2 linked regions of the Notamacropus eugenii genome follow. The main gene of each other region encodes a partner of the protein of the gene in region 2 in a complex. Links are inferred from orthologs where the notes say so. Each region holds a gene or a part of one and is shown on either strand. Other genes may lie near its edges.

Region 1 (9,974 bases), on a different chromosome or scaffold from region 2:
GTACCCTCTCATTTTTCCTGAATCCCAACTTCTCTATCTAAACCCAGGTCTTTCTCTTGCCTTCTTGTTTCTAGGCTAATTAATAATGTCTTTAAGTATTGGTCCTCTTGGTGTATTCACTTAGTAATAAGGAACATTTGAAGATTAAAAATGTCTAATGATGGCTGCCATCAACTTGACAGGTAGTAGGAGAAATAGATATATTAGGAATAATAAACTTACCTACCTGTAAAATTGTTACTGTATTATTACAGGATTTAATAATAACAGATGACATCAAGAGAGTGTCTTAAACTTTACAAAACACTTTGCATGTTATTATTACTTTTCATTTCATTCTTACAATAACCTGTGAGGTTGGTGCTATTATTGTCCCCATTTTACAGATGAAGAAATTGAGGCAGATAGTGATGAATGGACTTGTCCATAGTCACATCACTAATAAATATCTGAGGCAGGATTTGAACTCATGTCTTCCCGACTCCAAGTCCACTGCAATAGCCATCTAGCTGCTTCTCATTTCAAGTTAGAACTGGAAGGTGCAATAGTTCAAACTCCTAATTTTATATATGAGGAAACGTAGGTCCAGATAGGTAAACAGATTGCTCAAGGTCATGTATAGCATCAGTTAGCCAAACTGGGATTCTAACCAAAGTCCTCCAAGTTGTATGAACATTTAGCTGTATCTATAAGTAATACATCAAATCAAAATGCAATGATGAAAAATCAGGGCATTTTGTCATTCTTTCTGCCCCCATCAGCTTTTCCTGCCCATCTTCCCTCTAGACACACTTTTCATTACTTTGGTGCTAGGGATCTCTTCACTTTAGGATTTGATTTGTGAGTGTCTTATGAGTGTGATGAAGCCATATAATGAGTGTGTGTTCTAGTATCTTTTCCTAATGACTATTATAAATTTGTAAATGTCATATACTGATAAAAAATAAAATGAAGTGAGAAAAAATGCTTTGTCTTGGAAGAAAGAAATAATAATTTAAATGAATTATGTAATGATTATAGCTGATTTTTTTTGCTTTGTCACTTTTAATTTGGATTTTTACTCATATTTGGCAGTTTAAAATAATACTAACACATTGCAGTTACTTTATTCTTCATTTCATATGTCTTTATTCAAATTTTGGCTGGTCTTACAGCATGTTTTTATATGTTGTGTTGTATATGTTATTTAATAAAATTAAATGTCTTTAGTTGGGCAATAATTCTAGAAAATACACCATCCCTCCCTTTTATACAGAGAGCATAATTATTACTATGAATATTCTAACATAAAAACAGAGAGGAAAATGGATGGTTTACAGATGGCAAATAATCATCTTAATTCTTTGTCACTTTTATTTAATATCATTTACCCATTTCTATTATATTGTGGGTACTTTAGGTTGAGAAAAACCCAGGACCCTGTCTGTAGTTTTGAATCTCTTCTGCACCTTTAAATGGATGGAAAATATTCTTGAGCACTGCTCTTATCCTTATGTTCCAACCTCTCTCCCCACTTTAGCTCCCCATCTCCCTCTCCCCCAAAGGTGATGGATGACTGTTTGGTGAAGGTAGTTAGAAGAGCTACAGTAGTCTAACTTTTTCCATATTGCTGGCTCAGCCATGGATCATTACAGATTATATATAAAGCCACATTTATGTGATATTAGCATTAAAATCATATTGGGGCAAAAGATGTATTTATTTTAAAATCTTTTCTTGATGTCTTTTGTCTTTACATGTCTTTATAGTTGTTGGGGGATATAGTAAGTCTGTGCTCTCTAGATTAAAACCTTCCTTATTACAACAATAAAAAAAACAATTAAGCCAAAACAAAATATACTGTGCGAGTGACATCTGCCAGTGTCTTCTGTTCTAGTAGTCACCCACTTCTCTGCCATGCTAAATGAGTTATATTTTATTATCTGTTCTTTAGGTCCTTCAGTGACTTTTCATCATTTGGCTTCCTTTAGTGGTCTTTTAATGTATCTTGTTATAGTCATTATTCTGGTTCTACTTGCTTCACTTTGTATCAGTTTATTGAAATCTTCCTATTCCTCAGAGTTGTTGTATTTGATATTTCTTAGTACACAACAAAATTTTATTATATTCATGTAACACAATTTTTCTAGCCATTCTTCAGATGTTGGGCAGCTATATCATTTTCATGTTTTGTTATTTATTTGTTTGTTTGTTTCCTGTCACAGAGTGTTACTTTGAATATTTTGGTATATATTGGACCTTTAATTATGCCATTGACTTGCTTGGGATATATGCCTGGGATATAGAACTGAACATAAACCTAGAAGGGCCCATAAAGATCATTTAAGTCAACTTCTCATGTTTTACAGATGAAGAAACTGAGTCCCTCACATTCCTGAGAGGTAGGGACTATAGGTATTATTATCCTCATTTTATAGAGAAGGAAACTGAGATTAAGTGGTTTGTCCCTATTCTTACCTAGTAAATATCAGAGGCTATTTTAAGACCTATATTTCTGCAGACTTCAAGTCTAGCATTCTCCATTATGCCACACTGCCTTTCATATTACCCAACTGTTTACCAGTGAATATACCTGCTGAGCAGATGTGTATGTGGTTAACAAATTATTTTTATTATCAGCCAGCATTTATATAGCATCTACTATATGCCAAGCACAGATATGCTTTGCAAATAATGTCTCATTGATCCTCACAATAAGCCTGGAATGTAGATGCTATAATTAACCCAATTTTGTACTTAAGAAAACTGAAGGAAATGGAGGTTAAATGACTTGCCTGAGGTCACCCAGCTGATAAACATCTAAGACTATGTTTAAATTCTGGTCTTTCTTATTTCTAATTTCTGGTCTTTTCTGGTCTAGAATTCTACCCATGAATACCCCGAGTATTAGTATATGTTAGGAAAATCTTTAATTTCCCAAACCTAGACCAAAAAGCAAGGAATCAAGCAACAAATATTTTTGCACATTAGCTATGATGTTTCACATGTATACTCTATAAAGCAGAACCCACACCAGGGGTCAGTGAACTTATTTTTTGATTACTGTATTTCAATATAATCAGTTTCCTTTGTAATCTTAGGTCATTTATTTTTTGCCTTTAAAATATGATCCTGAGAAGAGATCCATAGGTATCACCAGATTGCCAAAGGGGTCTATGGTACAAAAAGGTTAAGAATTCCCTCTCTAAAGTCAGATAAAAATATACAAACCTATAAGCAAGACAAAATTTATTTTTCAGCATAAAACTCTTATTTTAGTAGCTTGACTATGTATTCATCTGATAAATGTTTCCCTTAAGATTTAAAAAAAAAAAATTACCTGCAATGGAAACCATTGATTGCCAGCCTGAATATGCATAAAATCCTTGGAAAAAGGCTTCTGGAATCTGAGAGATATTTGGAAGGTCAGAACTGAAAGCATTCCCCAACCTGATCAAATTCTCCTTTCTCATTACCAACAATATAACTCCGTTTAAGGCAATAAGGCAAAGAACTGTTGTCTTCATCATTGTACTGACTGTCTGAAACCAAGTTACTTTTTTCACACCTTGAACACCGAGGATTCCCAGAGACCACAAAATGGCCAAAGCTAAGCATTTTTTGGGCAATGTTGGTGCAGAACACCCAGGATAGAAAGGCTGAATAACATACTCAGCCAACAATAAGGTTCGACTAGCAAGTCCTGCTGGTGTTGTAAAGAAACTGGTCCAGAAGCAGAAGAAAACAAAAGGAGATCCCAGGGATCTTTTGAGGAAATAGTATTGAGCTCCACTTCGAGGGAAAGTTGTGCCCACCTCAGCATAAGTAAGGGCTGTTATCATGGACACCGCTGCACAAGCAGCCCAGATACTCAGTGTGACACCCACATGGAGGGAGGAATATTTCAGCACTCCTTTGGGAGCTATGAAAATTCCTGCACCTATTACACTACTGAGTAAGAAAGTCACCCCGTGGAAATATCCAATTGCCCTTTGGAGCTGTGTCTTGTTCATTTTGTCCATTTCTTCAGTCCAGAGAAGGCCTTTTAAAGTTTCTTCTGCAATCACTCTTTTGTATACTCCTTGCTATGCTTTTGAAATCTGTCCCAAAAAACTCCCAGTAGTGAAACCATTAGATCCTTTTGATTTAGTCACTGTATACTACATGAGTTTCATTTTATTATACTACTTCATGACTTAAAAATGATTAACATGAAACAGTTTACCTATGAAATTTGTGATATGTTTAAATTCCTAGTTAACATGTTTTATCCATTAGACATTAAAACTTGCATTACTTGTCAAGGAATTTGTAGATTTTCCATTGGTGGTGCAGCATTTTTAATGTTTAACACTAAACAAGAATTAAGAAAGAACTAAATGCATGGTGGTTCAGCGTTTTTAGATATTCCATGGTTAGCTATTGGATTAGGATAGTTCCTTGGCCAGCTATGATTTGCACCTCAAACATTTACTAGCTTTGTGACCCTGGGCAAGTCATTTAACCCTGTTTGCCTCAGTTTCCTCATCTGTAAAATAAGTTGGAGAAGGAAATGGCAAATCATTCTAGTATCTTTGCTAAGAAAACCCCAAAATCACAAAGAGTCAGACACAACTGAAACAACTGAACAACAACAATAGAGTTAGAGGAGTTTGGTTCAAATCCTACCTCTCATAGTTATTACCTTGGGCAAATTACTTAACCTTCTCAGGCTTCTTTCCTCTTTTGCTAAATGTACAATGGACCAGATGGCCTCAGAAATCCCTTACAGTTCTAGATCTTTGAGGCAATGAGTCCCTCTCCTCTCACTCTCTGAGAGAGCATATGTAAATTTAAATTTATTCTGTTCTTTAAAGTTTATTTAATAATAGTGCTGCTTACACACAGATTTGATTTACCATAACTTCTCTGAGTTGTGTACTTAATTTTTTGTGAATAAGGAGTTATCAGACATGAGTCTGACATGAGAGGCAGCCCAGATAGTGGTGCAGAAATGAGACAGAAGGTCCTCAATGCAGCAGATGGTTAACTGTTGAGGATTCAGTTGACTGGTGATCAAATAGGAGAAAACTGTTTTCTTTTGCTACTCCCCCCTTGATTTTCCTCAGCATAATTTGTGACCTAGAGCTAGGGTCCTCTTAGTCCAAATCCCTGATCTGGAGGTACACAGATCACACCCAAAGAATGAGGAAGGCATGCAGAAGGAGGTCTTTAGAGATGGCTGGAGTGGAAGGCTTGGGAGAACTTAACCATTTCCCTTCCACTTTTTATATGCTTAATCTGCCAGTGACTATTCTGGAATAGTCTCTATATATACAATGACAAAAACAAAGATTCCCTGCTTCAAGGCACTTACAGTTTAGTTTGGGGGATAATAGGTATATATAGGACATGGATATTTTCAAAATAGGTAAGAAATGGATTCAAGATAACTTAGGGGGAGAGGTCCTAAAAGCTGGTGGATGGGGATCAGAAAAGGCCTCATGTGGAAGGTATGGCTTGAGTGAGTCTTGAAGAAAACTAGGGACTGAGAAATGAAATTGAGGAGGAAGTGCATTCCAAGTACCAAGGATAGCCAATGCAAAGGCATCAGGATGGAATGCCATGTGTGAGAAACAGCAAGAATGTCAATTTGGCTGGATTATAGAAGGAGCAACTGGAGTAAAGCCAGAAAAGTTAGAGACAGATTGTTTCAGGCATTAAACGTCAAACAGAGTTTATATTTGAGCCTAGAGATAATAGAGAGTCTTTAGTGACATACTTCTATTTCCACTTCAGGAAAATCAATTTGGCAGTTGAGTGGAAGATGGATTGGAGTGGGAAGAAACTTGAGCAGGATGACCAAAAAAGAGACAATTGTGTTAGTTCAGGCAAGAAGGCCAGAATCAATTAAGGTGGTGGCAGTGTGAGTGTAGATAAAGCAATAAATGCAAGAGGTGCTGTAGAGATTAAAATAAGATTTCAGTAAACCACTCAGTCATAGTGTATGGAGTACAGGTCCTGAAAATGGGGTTTTCAGGGGTTTTTATCATATGGAAAAAGTTCAGTTATGAGGTAGGGGGTTCTAGAGCTTTATATTTTATATTTTTTATATTTGGAATAATAATCCATATCATCCCCTAGCTAACATTTGAACTCAATCAGGATGGGTTTAAACAGATGAATGTTGCCAGTATTGGAAACTAGCAACAAGATGTCTGTAAACTAAATGTGCTCTGTTGACCAGTGGGGATACTGTAGTCTATTAAAAAGGCTATAGTGCCATAGAGGAACTGAGGTAAGTATGGATCAATATGGATCAAGAAGGGTACCCTGTGACAAATTCACTTAATGAATAATTATGCTCACTTGCTGGATAATAACACAGTAACATACTATCATCCTACAGGTTTAGGAAAGGCAACACATAGACCAGTTTGTAATTCTCCGTTACTGCAATGATTCACATATCATGTTCAGGTTTCTCATTATCGTGAAATAATTCTTTTTGTTACTTGTAAACCAACTCTGCAAATTCTTCTATCTGTTCCTCCAAGAATCTACAAACCAACATTTCATTTAGTTTCAACTTCCTTTCTGAAATTTCAGTTATAATTAGAATGTCAATATTGATATAATTCATTTTGTCAAGATATTGTTTTCCAGAGCTAAGGCCCAACAAACAAGCCGTTCCCTGAACTTAACATAACAACAATCCTTTGCTCTCACCCTTTAGATTATCTCAGCCACAGCAAAATCCCAGAATTGGGATTTATTATTTTCATATTAATCTCTATTTGCCAGAGGATTCTGTCCTGAGAGCTGGTGTTACAGCTCACATGCTGTAGCAGAAAGTAATCATTCAAATCTTCTGACACTCTAAAGAATCCCTGAGCCTGTAACTGCTAAGTGAACTGAACCAGGTACTGCATTCCTCTTCCTGCCACACTAACTCTGATTCTGTACCCTGCTGAACAACTACAAGGTTCAATGACCCTTAAGACTTGAGACAATCACAAGGCTAAATGATTCTAATAACTTACAGACTGTTCCCATGGAACACCTCTATTGTCATCTGTGGGAACTGTTTACTCAAGACCTATGAATGGCTGTATTGGATCCTGCCTTTTTGTGATTTTCATGCTTAAAAACTCCACCCCTGCCACAAACCACAAACCCTCCTCAGGAGGACTTCTACTTGTAAACGTTTTCCTCACTTTGAAATTAAACTTCTGTTTGATTTCTGACTCTTGTTTTTCTGCCTGCTTTGTTCAGCTCTGGCCACCCACAGGTTAGAGACTAGTTCTGAGCTGGTTGACAAATTCCTCCAATACTATGTCAATTCACCAATGATTGCACAAGAATCATACACTTAAAATACCATCATAGGATCATGTATTTGAAAGGACCATTAATGGAAGGACCATTAGAGGTCTCTCATTTTACAGGCTAGGGAAAAGATGTTCAGAGAGGTAAAGAAATTTGCCCAAGGTCACAGGGCATTAAGGGGCAGAACCAGGATATAAATCCAAGTTTTCTAATTCTATATTAGGGCATCTTTTCACTCTCTCAACTAAGAATCACATGGTTCAAAAAACCATGTGATTTTTTTTTAAGCACTTCTGAACCCTTTTTTGCCATACTGCCATTGCCACTGCACAAGACTTAAAGCCACTTTGTGTTTGTCTTTGTTTCATTGGTTGCTATGGCCAAGTCTTTAGTCACTAAGTGGGTTTACTGTTGATGGGCCATTCGGCACTTGACTAGGATGCCTTTAAAAAGCAGTACTCATCCATCATTGTACTCTAAGCTTTTTGGCATGACAGAAACTTCCAGAATTTGCACTGGGTTAGCCTTTGATAACCCAATATCATCTCCATGCCACGCTAAAGAATTGTAGTAGGACTTTTGTGGACCATCATATCAAAAATAAGAAGACAGGGAATTATTAGAAGAAACGTAAGGAAAGGATCTTATCTGGTGGCAACTTTCTTAGGCTCATTAAGACTTCAGCAGAGAGAAGGGATTTAACTGACCTTGTAATCCTATATTATGTTGACTCCTAGAAGGATAAAACAACTTCTCAGAAATATGCAAATGGAAAAAGTACTTTAGGAGAGACTATATTTCTCTCAGATCAGAGGACAGAAATGATACAAAGCCTAGAGTTCTTATGATGTCTCCCATATGTTACAACATCTTCTGTTCTTAACATTTTGTTCTTAAAAATTAAAATAGGAAGGGGGCGGAGCCAAGATGGCGAAATAGAAAGACGCACATACACATAGCTCCGAACCCACAAACCACAGAACGGCTAGAGGGGACCAAGCCAGGGCGAATTCTGCACCCAGAGACCACGGACTATTGGAGCGAGGGAGATTTCTGCTCCAGAGAGACCTGCAAACCTCTCGCGGGGGGTCCTTCGCGCCGTGGACTGGGTGCCGGGACGGGGAGCAGAGTACAGCCCTGCCGCGGCCACGCCACCGAGAGGAAAAGATCCGAGAGGGCTACGGGGATGGGATATCCAGTGGCCACGCGGGTCCCCCCACCCACAGAGGGACCTGCAAACCTCTCACAAAAGGTCCATCGTGCTGCAGACGCGGAGCCCAGCCCGGACCTGCGGCGGTGGCGGCTGCGGCCGCGGCTCCGAGAGGCACAGATCTGAGAAGGCTCCAGAGACGGAATCTTCAGCAGCGGCACAAGCCCCCCCATCAACAGGAGACTGACGGGGGTAGGTGAGAGAGTCTCTTTGGCGGGTTGAGAGGGGAGTGGGGTGCCCCCATGGCTCGGGCCCCCCCAGGAGATAGAAGCTGAGAGGCGGCTGCAGACAGGGGCTCCCCAAATGGGCGGGAGCCTGGATCCATTGTGGAAGGTCTGTGCATAAACCCCCTGAGGGAACTGAGCCAGAGAGGCGGCCCTGCCCATGACCTCAGCACCTGAACTTAATTTAACACTGAATAGCAGCCCTGCCCCCGCCAAAAACCCTAAGGTGGGAAGCAGCATTTGAATCTCAGTCCCCAAACGCTGGCTGGGAGGACCAGGAGGCGAGGTGGGTGTGAGGAGAACATTCAGAGGTCAGGCCACTGGATGGAGAGAATGCCAAGAAAAGGGAAAAGAAATAAAACTATTGAAGGGTACTTTAGCGGAGAAAAGACACTTCCTCCCTTCCTTTCTGATGGGGAGGAACAATGCTTGCCATCAGGCAAAGACACAGAAATCGAGGATTCTGTGTCCCAGCCCACCCAATGGGCTCGGGCCATGGAAGAGCTCAAGAGGAATTTTGAAAATCAAGTTAGAGAGGTGGAGGAAAGACTGGGAAGGGAAATGAGAGGGATGAGGGAGAAGCATGAAAAGCAGATCAGCTCCCTGCTAAAGGAGAACCAAAAAAATCTTGAAGAAATTGGCACCTTGAGAACTAGCCTAACTCAGCTGGCAAGGGAGGTGCAAGGGGCCAATGAGGAGAAGAATGCTTTCAAAAGCAGAATTAACCAAATGGAAAAGGAGATTCAAAAGCTCACTGAGGAAAATAGATCTTTCAAAACTGGAATGGTACGATGGACGCTAAGGACTTTATCAGAAAGACAGATATCTCAGAACATACCGCGCAGATTCGAAAAATGGAAGATAACGTGAAATATCTTATTGGAAAAACAACTGACCTGGAAAATAGAATCAGGAGAGACAATGTAAAAATTCTGGGACTACCTGAAAACCATGATCAAAAGAAGAGCCTAGACATCATCTTCCATGAAATTATCAAGGAAAACTGCCCTGAGATTCTAGAACCAGAAGGCAAAATAAATATTCAAGGAATCCGCAGAACACCGCATGAAAGAGATCCAAAAAGAGAAACTCCTATGAGCATTGTGGCCAAATTCCAGAATTCCCAGGTGAAAGAGAAAATATTGCAAGCAGCTAGAAAGAAACAATTCAAGTATTGTGGAAATACAATCAGGATAGCACAAGATCTGGCACCCTCTACATTGAGGGATAGAAGGGAATGGAATAGGATATTC
Region 2 (10,318 bases):
AACTAGATTAATCTACATGGGGAAACAATTAGGATGTTGCTCCTGCAACACTCCATCCCCTTGGTGATAAGGTCCTTAAGGTCTTCTTGAAGTCTTCTACTACTAAAATTACTTTAGGCATGTTACTGATCAACCTTTCTTCCAGTATTCATGAAGCTTGATATTTTATTGTTTAATCATTTTTCAGTAGTGTTTGATTCTTTGTGATCCCATTTGGGGTTTTCTTGGCAAAGATGTGGAAGTGGTTTTTTTCATTTCATTTCCTTCTCCAGCTCATTTTGTATAGATGAGGAATTGAGGCAAACAGGTTAAGTGACTTGGCTAGTGTCACACAGCTGGTAAGTTTCTGAGGCCAGATTTAAACTCAGGAAAATGAATGTTCCTGATTCCAGTCCAGGTACTCTACTCACTGTGTCATTCAGTCACCCAGAAGCTTCATATAGGTAACACTAAAGATGGAAAAGAAAAGCAAACACAGAAACATATCAGAAAGCAAAGAAACAAAAGCCCAAAGCCCAAAATGTAACAGTTCCTTCAAGGAATCATTCAATATGGGAGATCAAAGACCTGAAATTCCTGGCTTCACTCCCTGCCTCCTTGGAAACCAAGTCCTGGATCTAAATGATCAGGTCCACATTGTGGACAAAACCATAATTTTGTAGTTCCTCGTGGGGCTCTCAATGTAGAGCAAAGACCATAAGCAGGAGCTTCAGGCAAAGATGATACCACTTCTTGCCTAGTTACCAGGGTTCCTCGTAGGACAGCAAATTGCCCTATACCACCCATCTACTTGGTGTTCCCTGGTCCATCATCCAGCGCCTCCCCGTCCCTGAAGCCCTATGATGGGGGTAGCATTCAAAATCTTCTTCACATAAAACACTCCTCATGAACTTCCCCTTTATTCTTTGGGGGCTGGATAAATAGCGCCTTTCACTACTACTCTCCTCATTGCCAGAAAGCAAACTACCTCCCAACAATGCCACTTCTGGGGCCTCCTCCTACCGGAAGATGAATTGTACAGTGATCATTGGATGGTGTATGGTCAACATTGTAGAGGGGCCAATCAATTCCAGATTACAGTATGCCATGGGCTACAGTGGATCTGTCTTTGCTCATGTTCATTCCCAGTGCCCATTCTGCCTTGTGGGAAAGGCTGCTGGGAGCTATTTCATTGTATACAGCTGTCCTGTGTTTCTGCTTGCTGCCCCCTACCCTAACCCCAGGCAACCACCCCTGCAATCTACATCTTTGCCTGCTGTCTCTTGGCCATCATCCCTGGAGCACACATCTTTGCTCACCACCCCATTCTGCCAGGATGAACTTCACCTCTGTCCTGGGATAGGACAGCTGACACTACCAGGCCCTGAGCCCTGATGCCTTATGCTCAAGGTATTGAGCCCTGTTCTCTTGCCATCACTGGGGAATAACTCCACTCCATCATGGCAGGCATCACTCTGCTTTGCTGAGGGCCTAGGCTGCCACTGCCCTCCTGTGGTTGGTAGGAATACTGTAGGCCACACGGAGGCTACATGCTACAGGCCTAGAGTCCCTGCCCTTGGCTGGTCTACCAAAAGTAATGAAGTCAATAACTGCCACATGGAATGGATCAGGCAACTCCAAAAGATTCTGACCTATCATGTCAGGGCTTAGGTTCCCCTTCCTAAAGGTCCTTCTTTCTCAGGCAAGAAATTTCTCCTTTTTCCAGTGACTTCCAGCTGAGGGACCCCTTGACATCTTTCCTTGACTTTCCATCTTGACCATTCAGGATATCCCAGTCATAATGGTGCCCTCAGGAATAAGAATGTCCAGCTCAGGAAAATAAAGGAAAAAAAAAAGACACAAACCCAGAGATATTCCTCTGGGCCAGTACCTGTTCTCTTATCTGTCATGTGTAAGTAGTAACCATTTCTGCCAGGATGGGGCCAGGTACCTGGGCCTTGAGCTTTGCCAGGGCCCCTCCTAGAATTCTCCAGAGAGAATTATAGGTCATAGCTCAAGAGTGACAGTGTATCTTTTAAAAACTGACAGAGCTGTCTTAGCAGATTAGCCGGGATACACTGTGGACCCACTTTTCCACATCCCCAATTTCAGAAATGTCTCTGGGTTCCTTGACAGAATTAAGCATGAACTTTCACATGCCTCCCCCGTTGACTTGCACCAAAGAATTACAAAGAAGTCTGTGTTACAATTCTGGGTGGTCTCTCTAATGTCAACGAAACAACAATGATAAAAGACAAAATGAAAAACCTCAAAACTCCCTGTGGTGTATTGTTAGACAATCCTAAAGTCTTCCTGAGATGGATTTTTCTGTCATTGTTGGGGTACCTCAGCCACCCCTCAACTGAGGACTGCTTGTTCAGCTGCATTACCCTGGCCAAAAATCCATTAAAAACCTAATAATTCTTGCCTTATTTGCCCACAAATATGACTCCCTTAAAGCCGGAAAGGACTTTTTTATAGTAGACCTCCAAGACCATTAGTGATACAAAGGCATCCAAGCTCCAGCAAAGGGAGTTCACACTGCATTCTTTAGTAGGGAAGTGTCCCCACAATATTAGCTGAGCTTAAAACTTCACTCAAAGTTTTGGGACACCGTGTTTGTCCTTTTCTAGTGAGGAAAAAATCATTCTCTATTCCATTTAGTTAAGTTGAATTCAATTTAGTGAGGGGATTTCCTTAGAACTCAGTTTACATTCAAAACATCCCTTTGTCGGACCTTGGAGGACGCTTAAATTGCCAAGCTGGAAGGCCCAGGGACAACACAGATGATGGGTCTAAAAGACAGCTTACTACAATTGTCTTTAATGAGGAAGAGTTCTTAAGGACATAGAGAATATTCACATCTGTCATGTACTCTTCTACTGGGTGGCCTCCTGGCTGTTTCACCAACAATACAATCTAGCTCTTGGCTCTGGGTATTTTCTCTGACTGTCCCCCATGCCTGGGCTTCTCCCTCCTCAACTCCATTTCCTAGTTTCCTTTAAGTCTCAACTAAAAGTGTGTGTGCGTGTGTGTGTGCATGTGTGGTGTTTGCACGTCTTCTCCCCCATTACATTGTGAGCTCTCTAGGGCCAAGGATTGTCTTTTGCCTCTTTTTATATCCCCAGGGCTTAGCACAATGTCTGATACATAGTAGGTGCTTAATAAATGTTTGGGGGCAGTTATGTAGGTGTAGTAGATAGAGTGCTGGAATTGGAGTCAGGGAGACTCATTTTCCTGAGTTCAGATCTGGCTTCAGACACTAGCTGTGTGACCCTGGCCAAGTCACTGAAACCTATTTCCTCATCAGTAAATTGAGCTGGAGAAGAAAATGGCAAACCACTCCATTATCTTTGTCAAGAAAACCCCAAATGGAGTCACAAAGAATCAGATAAGACTGACCAATAAGATCAAGGTTTCCCATAAAGGTGATTTTGCACTTGAGATAAGAGAGTAAACTGCCTTCCTATCAGACCTGTACAGTCCCAATGACTCATAGGCAGCTGGGGGCACAGTGGATAGAACACTGGGCTTAGAATCAGGAAGATTCATCTTTATGGATTCAAATCTGATCTCAGACACTTCCTAGCTGTGTGACCCTAGATAAGTTACTTAACCCTATTTGCCTCACTTTCCTTATCTGTAAAATGAGCTGGAGAAAGAAATGGCAAACCACTCCAGTATCTTTGCCAAGAAACCTCAAAATGGAATCATGGAGAGTAGGACAGGACTGAACATCATCATCAACAGCCATCTAAAACCTCATCATCCATCATCATCCATTCATTAGAACCTGCCCCTTCCTGAGAGCCTCATGGTGGGGTAATGGGATATAAAATCTTCTCCACATGAGAGGGCTCTAAGGGACTGCCCCCTTCTTCTGTGGGGGCTGGGTAGATACTTTCAGTACCCCTTTGCTGCTAGAACCCTCCTGGGGAAGGACTCCTGTTTAGAGATCACTGGGTGTTATTGTACTGGCAGTAATGTTGAGTTTATGTGTGTGTGTGTGTGTGTGTGTGTGTGTGTGTGTGTGTGTGTGTGTGTGTGTGTGTGTGCGCGCGCGCACCTGCGCGTATAGTCAGGTGCTGGACTTACTCTCCCAACCCACTTTTAATACACATGTTGATATGTCTAACATAAAATGGTGAACCTGAGTGTGATATGGATAGATATCATATCAGGGATCTAGAAAGCCCCTTCCATATCTCTTTGTGGATAGTAGGAGGGCCTATACTTGTCCTTTAAAGGTAGCCTAGAGGGTAGGAGCAGCACATGGGACCACTGAGCAATCTTTTCTTCCTGTTCCTATTTCTAAGGGGGTGGGGGTGGGGTATTGGGCTAGAATTATACTTCTCTGTGTTTAACTTAGGAATAAGTTTGAGGCTTTTTGTTTACCCTCCACCTGGTTTAGCCCATCTCTTGAGACAGTTTTAGTAGGGTATGGCCACTGCACTTGCTACAGATTCTTGGAGCCAAAGGTGAGAGTAGGGTGAAGATGAACAGCAAAGGTTGATGAGTAGTCCTGAGAAAGGCTGGGCAGCAGGCCCTCCCTCTAATCCTCCCTGATCACCCCATACACCCTACACAAACAGCAAAGCTTATCTAGCACACATCAGCTATGTCTAGGGGTGTGTCCTCCTTTGAGGGACTTTCTGTGTTCTTAAGAAGAGGGTAACCCTTATCTTCCTCTCATTAGCATATGTCCCTGTCACCAACTGGTGGTTACACAAAAGACAACAGAATAGCTTTTTAGCAAAGTAAATTATGAACAGAAATGGGGGAGTTTATAGATATTAGGTTACATCAGAGTAAACTAGCTCTTTGATTTGGAATTAAGATAGAATCTCAGCTCATCCAAGGCAAAAACAACCTCACCCAGGAAGTCCACTCTTTGTAATCTCTAGTGTTGTACAAATTACAGATCAAGGGACTTGGTGGGGGCTGGCTTCCCCGGCCGCCCGTCTGCCTGTCTGTGGCTAAAGGGAGATTTCCTGTCTGCTAGTCAAGTTTGCCCTCTCTTCTCCCCTGTTCTCTCTGGAACTCTCCACTTCTCTCAGTAGTCCCTCCAAAGATTAAGAAGTTTTTCCTTCACTTATGCATCTAAATAGTATGAAGGGCTTTGCAATCTCTCAGCCACTTAGGATCCACATTTTCTCTCTCCATTCTCCTTTCCCCCCACATCCCCAGGCAAGGAGAGCCACTCACTGTCCCTCTGGGATCTGCCAAAGCTGCCTCAGGTGGGGTTGGTGCAACAATTTTCTCCAGTCAACGTAATTATGTATTTAAAGCCAGGGGACAAAGGAGATAAAAACTGGTTAATTGCTTATTTTATTGTTTCTACTCCAAATTTTATTCTTTCCTTTAAGAAAAAAAAGCTTAATGTTATCTAGGTAAGTAAGTCATGTCTTTGTTAATGCTTTTAAATAAATGACATACACAATAAGTCATCATTTACAAAAAAGCATGCCATTTTAGATATTTAATTTAGATATAAAATACATCCTTTTTAGTTTACATAAAGGCAGAAACATCAGCATTTTCTACTTACCAATGTTTAAACAGCTCTTTAGTGTAAACATTAAAAGCTATTTACAAAATGCTGCTCTCATGGAAAGTAGGAAGCAATTCATATTACACAGACATAGGAGGGAGTGGTTGTATACATGTACACACCTGTACATATACACACGACACAAATATACAATATGGAACAAAAAGGGCCAAATAATGCATATTTGGTGCATTTATCTCTCTTCTTTTCCTTAAAGCTTAATGCTTTAATTCCTCCCACCCCCACCTTAGACTTACTCGGAAAGTAGAGTCTTTTCTTTCTTTTTTTGAAATCCCTTTTACCTTTACCCTTTCTTTTTCTCTTGTTGAATTTTAACCAGCCAGGTTTATTTATAAACCATACCAAGCTAAATACACCACCAAGCATTTCAGTTAAGCAAGACATTTTTTTGCCTTTGTTTACTGCAAGAAAGCTCCCTCAAAGGAGAAGCAGGAAAAAGATGGCCAAGGATGGAAGTAAGAAAGATTCCATGAGAATGAGTATGAAGGGTCACACCAACAATGGATTTGTGCAAAATGAGGCAGTCACCGAACGAGAAATTGACGGAAGCAACCAGGTCGATTCACTGAAGACAAGTAGTAGTGACATCCATCCCCAAGAGCTCGACCCTATCAAGCCCTATGCAGGGATGCCCAAAGAAGTCCTGCTTCTGTACTCAAGCCAAGCACGGTACAAAATCACCCGAGAGATCCTCTTCTGGCTCATCATTGTAGCTGTGCTTGTGCTCATCAGTTCAACTATTGCAATTATTGCCCTGTCTCCAAAGTGTCTTGAGTGGTGGCAAGTCAGTCCTATATACCAGATCTACCCACGTTCTTTTAAGGACAGCAACCAAGATGGCAATGGTGATCTGAAAGGTTAGTGCCCATAAAGGTTTGTTAGAGCTAATGAAGAAAGTAAAGGTGTAATTTGGTTTTTGTTCTCTCTATATCTCTGGAAGTTTATTATGCCTATGACTGCAAGGGATGGTCAAGATTCTTATTCCTTATAATGGAAAAACTCTCACTAAGCAAGCTTGTCTATTTAACAATACAGGAGTTCATTTGGTTATTGAAAAAGATTACTTGATGGAGACCCTTTGAAAGCCTTTGAGTCAAGGGCAAATAAAAGAATGCTTAGAAGTGTGTCATGAGTACTGGTAGATGTAACTGTTCATTTTTATTGGTTTAATTTGGCATCTCATAACTTCTTATATCTCTTCAGTTTACAGCTAAATGTCATACAATAATCTTTTAACAAGGTTATTCAAATATATGATATGGCTGCTCCTGGCTTACTAACCCTGTCTATCCACCCCTTCCCGCAAACACAGATTTCCTTCAGTAGAACACCCATCAGTAAAAGGAAGCCGAAACTTCCCAGCTTCTCTGCTATGATCTGAAAAAGGTTGATATCATCAGAAAGTGATTTATTACATGTTAATGTTTAGCTTGTTATCTTGATATCATTGATATCATGTGAAGTAGAGAGTTGGAAAATAAAGGGTCTAATTGCAGCCTGGCTAGTACAGAGCCCTGGATTTGGACTCTAGAGATCCTGGCTCCTCTTTTTATAATCTATGACCTTGGGCAAGTTGACTTATACCTCTGTGCCTCAATTTCCTCATCTATACAGTAAGAAAACGGTTCAGTTGGATGGCTTCAAAGGTCCTTTTCAACCTTAGATCTCTAATATCCTAAGTCCTCAAGGCACCTTACCTTACTTGAAGTCCCACCCTAGGCCAAAGGCTACTGAAACAATTGCCAGTGGGGTTATCTGGAGGATCCTCCCTTAACCACACCTTTAGGAATTCATTACCAAAACAGTGAATTACCTTATCTCTAGGGAACAAGAAAGAAATGGGGAGGGGGAAATTTTTCTTTCTAGGGTGGTAAATAAAAAAGCACTAGTTTTATGTGGAAAAACTGGTGAAAGTATGATTTTTAAATATTAAAAACAAAACTTTTACTTTATCCTTACATAATTACATGTGCTGGGGCAGAATGAATGTCAGGCCCTTTGCTGGTTTGTCCAAAGGCCATACAAAGTAGAGCTCCAAAGCCAATAACCAAGAGACAGTGACATCTTAAGAAAAGCCTCTGGGTGGAACACATTAAGAAGGGATTTCTGAACATCAACATATCAAGCATATCGGTTAATTTCGTAAAAGCAGTGAATCCATAGGCTGATTCAGTGGTAGCCCCTAAAATAAAGTGCTGCTGCTTTTTGTGGAAGCCAGGCACAGAAATTCTCCACGGTAGCATTATACCCCAAGTAGCATGTTTTGGAATCAGAGTACCGAAGAGGAGAATGAAGCTTCTCGTCCCAAGGAATTTATTGAATGGCTGTAGATACAGCAATGGGAAAAATAAACACTTATGTGAAAGATTCTTTGGTTTAGGGGACAGCGAATGAACCAATAGAAATATTCTTTGATTTCTTTTAAAAACAGAATTATGATTGGGTATAGGGGTCGGAAGAAGGCAATGCTTTTGCTCCAGAAATATGATTTCATTAGTGATTAGAACTCCAAGTGTGAAAACTCCTTCAACAGACACATATATAACACATCTGTAATGTACGTAGCCTGAGGAAGCTGGTGGCATAGAGGACAGAGCAGTAGGCATAGAGTCAAGAAGACCTGAGTCCAAATTAGATTTCAGATACTTGCTAGCTCTGTTACCCTCCACAAGTCACTTTACCTTGGTTGACCTCAGTTTTCTCAATTGTAAAATAGGGATAATAATAGAATCTACCTCACAAGGTTGCTATGAGAAACAAACCTGGCATACAGTAGGCACTTAATCAATGCTTATTCCCTCTTCTTCCCCTGTTCTTCCCCTTAGGGAGTTGCCTGGGGCCCTGAGAAGTTAAGTCCCTTGTGCAGGGTCATACAGCCTGAGATCAGAAGACCCCAGGTCTTCCTTACTTTGAGGTCTGCTTGATATCCAGTAAATAGTGGTTATGACATATCAAATATATTAACAGCTTTTTAATTAAAATTTGTTGACCATGATGGGTTTCTCACCCATTTGCCCCTTATTTCTGATATTTTTGTAAGGTATGGAAGGTTCAAAGATTATTATCCTTATTTAACACTAAAGAATTAATGAATCTAATTCATTCTAGTAAACATTTTCAAAGCTCTTAGTCCTATGAGCCCAGCATAAAGACAATGTATTATATATATTAGAGGTTCACAGAGGACAGAAGGAATCTAATTAATGGCAGTTCAGAGCCTTCAAGAATCAGATCTATAGTTAAGAGCCAGCATATATATATAGCACTTCACAAATATTACCTCATTTTATCCTCACGACAATCCTGGGAGACAGCCACTATTATTACCCCCATTTTACAGATGGGGCAACTGAGGCAGATAGAAGTTTAAGTGACTTGTCCAAGGTCATACATTTAGTTAGTGTCTGAGGCTAGCCTTAAAAGTAGATTTTCCTCCCTCTAGGCCCAGAGTTCTATCTGCTCCTCCTCTAACTCTCCTCAGGAGAATTAGGAGGAAGAAGAGTACTAAGCCCTAAAGGGATCAGGAGAAGTTTCTATTCTAGAACAAAAGGATCTGTGAACTGAGACTTGGAGGAAGCTAAACATTCAAAGGGTCAGAGGGGAGGAGGGAGTCCATTCCAAGTACAGGGGAGATGGCACGCGAAGCATGAAATGCTGAGGTCAGGGACCTGCAAGTTGGCCAGCCAGCTTGTAAGGTGGAGTGCTTTCAGTCAAGAAGCATTTATTAAAGTGCCTGCTTTGCACTAGGCACAGGGGATACAGAGGCAAAAAGGAACCAAACAGTTCCTGGCCACCTGGGAGTTTACATTCTATAGGTAAAGCCGGCACATATATCTATAAAAAGATATCAGTCATATACAAAATAAATAGAAGGGACTGCAGGGGGGAGGATGGGGATGAGGGGAGGGATGGATTTCTTGGGAGATCAGGAGAGGTCTCCTGTAGGTGGTAGAGCTTGAGATGAGAACTGAAGGTAACCAGGGACCCAAGGGGAGCAAGGAGTGCATTCTGGTCTATACAAAAGCACAGAGACAAGAGAAGGAGTGTCATGGGGGAGGAATAGCCAATGGGCCCATGTGGCCCATGTGTGAAGGGGAGGAACATGTAGTATTTCTGGAAAGGCAGAGAGGAGCCAGATTATGAAAAACCAAAGTTCATGTTTTATTCTAGAGGCAATGGGGAGTCACTGAAACTTCTTGAGCAGGACAATGACATGGTCAGACCTTTAGGAACTTCACTTTGGGAATTATGTGGAGGAGGATTTGGGGGTACAAAGAAGATGTGAATGAGTTAGAGACTCAACCAGGGGCTTCTTCTGGTTGTCCAGGCAAGAGCTCATGAGGTTTTGACCTTAGGGTGATGTCCTTGTGATTAAAGAGAAGGGGTCAGAGGTGGAGGGAGAATGAACAAAACTTGGCAAGCAATTGGATGTGAACATCTTGCATTTCTATGATATCTTGACCTTTACACTTTCCTCTTATAACAAGGTTGTAAGGTCAGCAGTGAGAGTCCCAGAAGAAAGGAGCAACCATTGAGTTAAGGATGATTTGGAGTCTCTTCAGATAATAATAAAAATATGTTGTTCCAGAAAGGGTTTGCCTGGAACTTACATTATATAAAACATAAAGGACTAAATATATATATGTACATATACATACACTATTATCATTATGATCATTGGCATCTCTAACCCTTCCTTCGTTGCTGAAGAAGACCGTATGCCAACAGAGAAAGGATGACATAACTTGCATTTGACTTTGTTTGGAG

Evidence for each region.
Region 1: the proteins of SLC3A1 (region 2) and SLC7A13 are in contact, whole or in part, in a cryo-EM structure (PDB 8WK6), measured with the Homo sapiens proteins. The link is inferred for Notamacropus eugenii from reciprocal best matches to the Homo sapiens genes SLC3A1 and SLC7A13. Residues at the interface, in NP_000332.2 of Homo sapiens: Pro64, Tyr65, Ala66, Gly67, Met68, Pro69, Lys70, Leu73, Phe76, Ser77, Arg81, Tyr82, Pro85, Arg86, Leu89, Phe90, Thr93, Ser96, Val97, Leu100, Ile101, Thr104, Ile107, Ile108, Ser111, Cys114, Leu115, Glu194, Asn195, Asp202; in NP_620172.2 of Homo sapiens: Ile120, Phe123, Phe124, Pro125, Ser126, Cys127, Leu132, Pro133, Cys136, Leu137, Leu139, Ala140, Met141, Trp143, Ile147, Arg151, Lys187, Thr265, Arg267, Asp281, Arg282, Glu450, Cys454, Tyr455, Gln457, Leu458, Leu459, Phe460, Asn461, Ile462.

Annotation. Positions count from the first base shown.
Region 1 is NC_092875.1:317,271,623-317,281,596, reverse strand, and holds the start of SLC7A13 (solute carrier family 7 member 13), read right to left. Parts: upstream 4,096-9,974; 5' UTR 4,002-4,095; coding exon 3,320-4,001; intron 1-3,319. UniProt on the Homo sapiens protein: Associates with SLC3A1/rBAT to form a functional heterodimeric complex that transports anionic and neutral amino acids across the apical plasma membrane of renal epithelium.
Region 2 is NC_092872.1:665,479,773-665,490,090, reverse strand, and holds the start of SLC3A1 (amino acid transporter heavy chain SLC3A1), read left to right. Parts: upstream 1-5,906; 5' UTR 5,907-5,990; coding exon 5,991-6,408; intron 6,409-10,318. UniProt on the Homo sapiens protein: Acts as a chaperone that facilitates biogenesis and trafficking of functional transporter heteromers to the plasma membrane.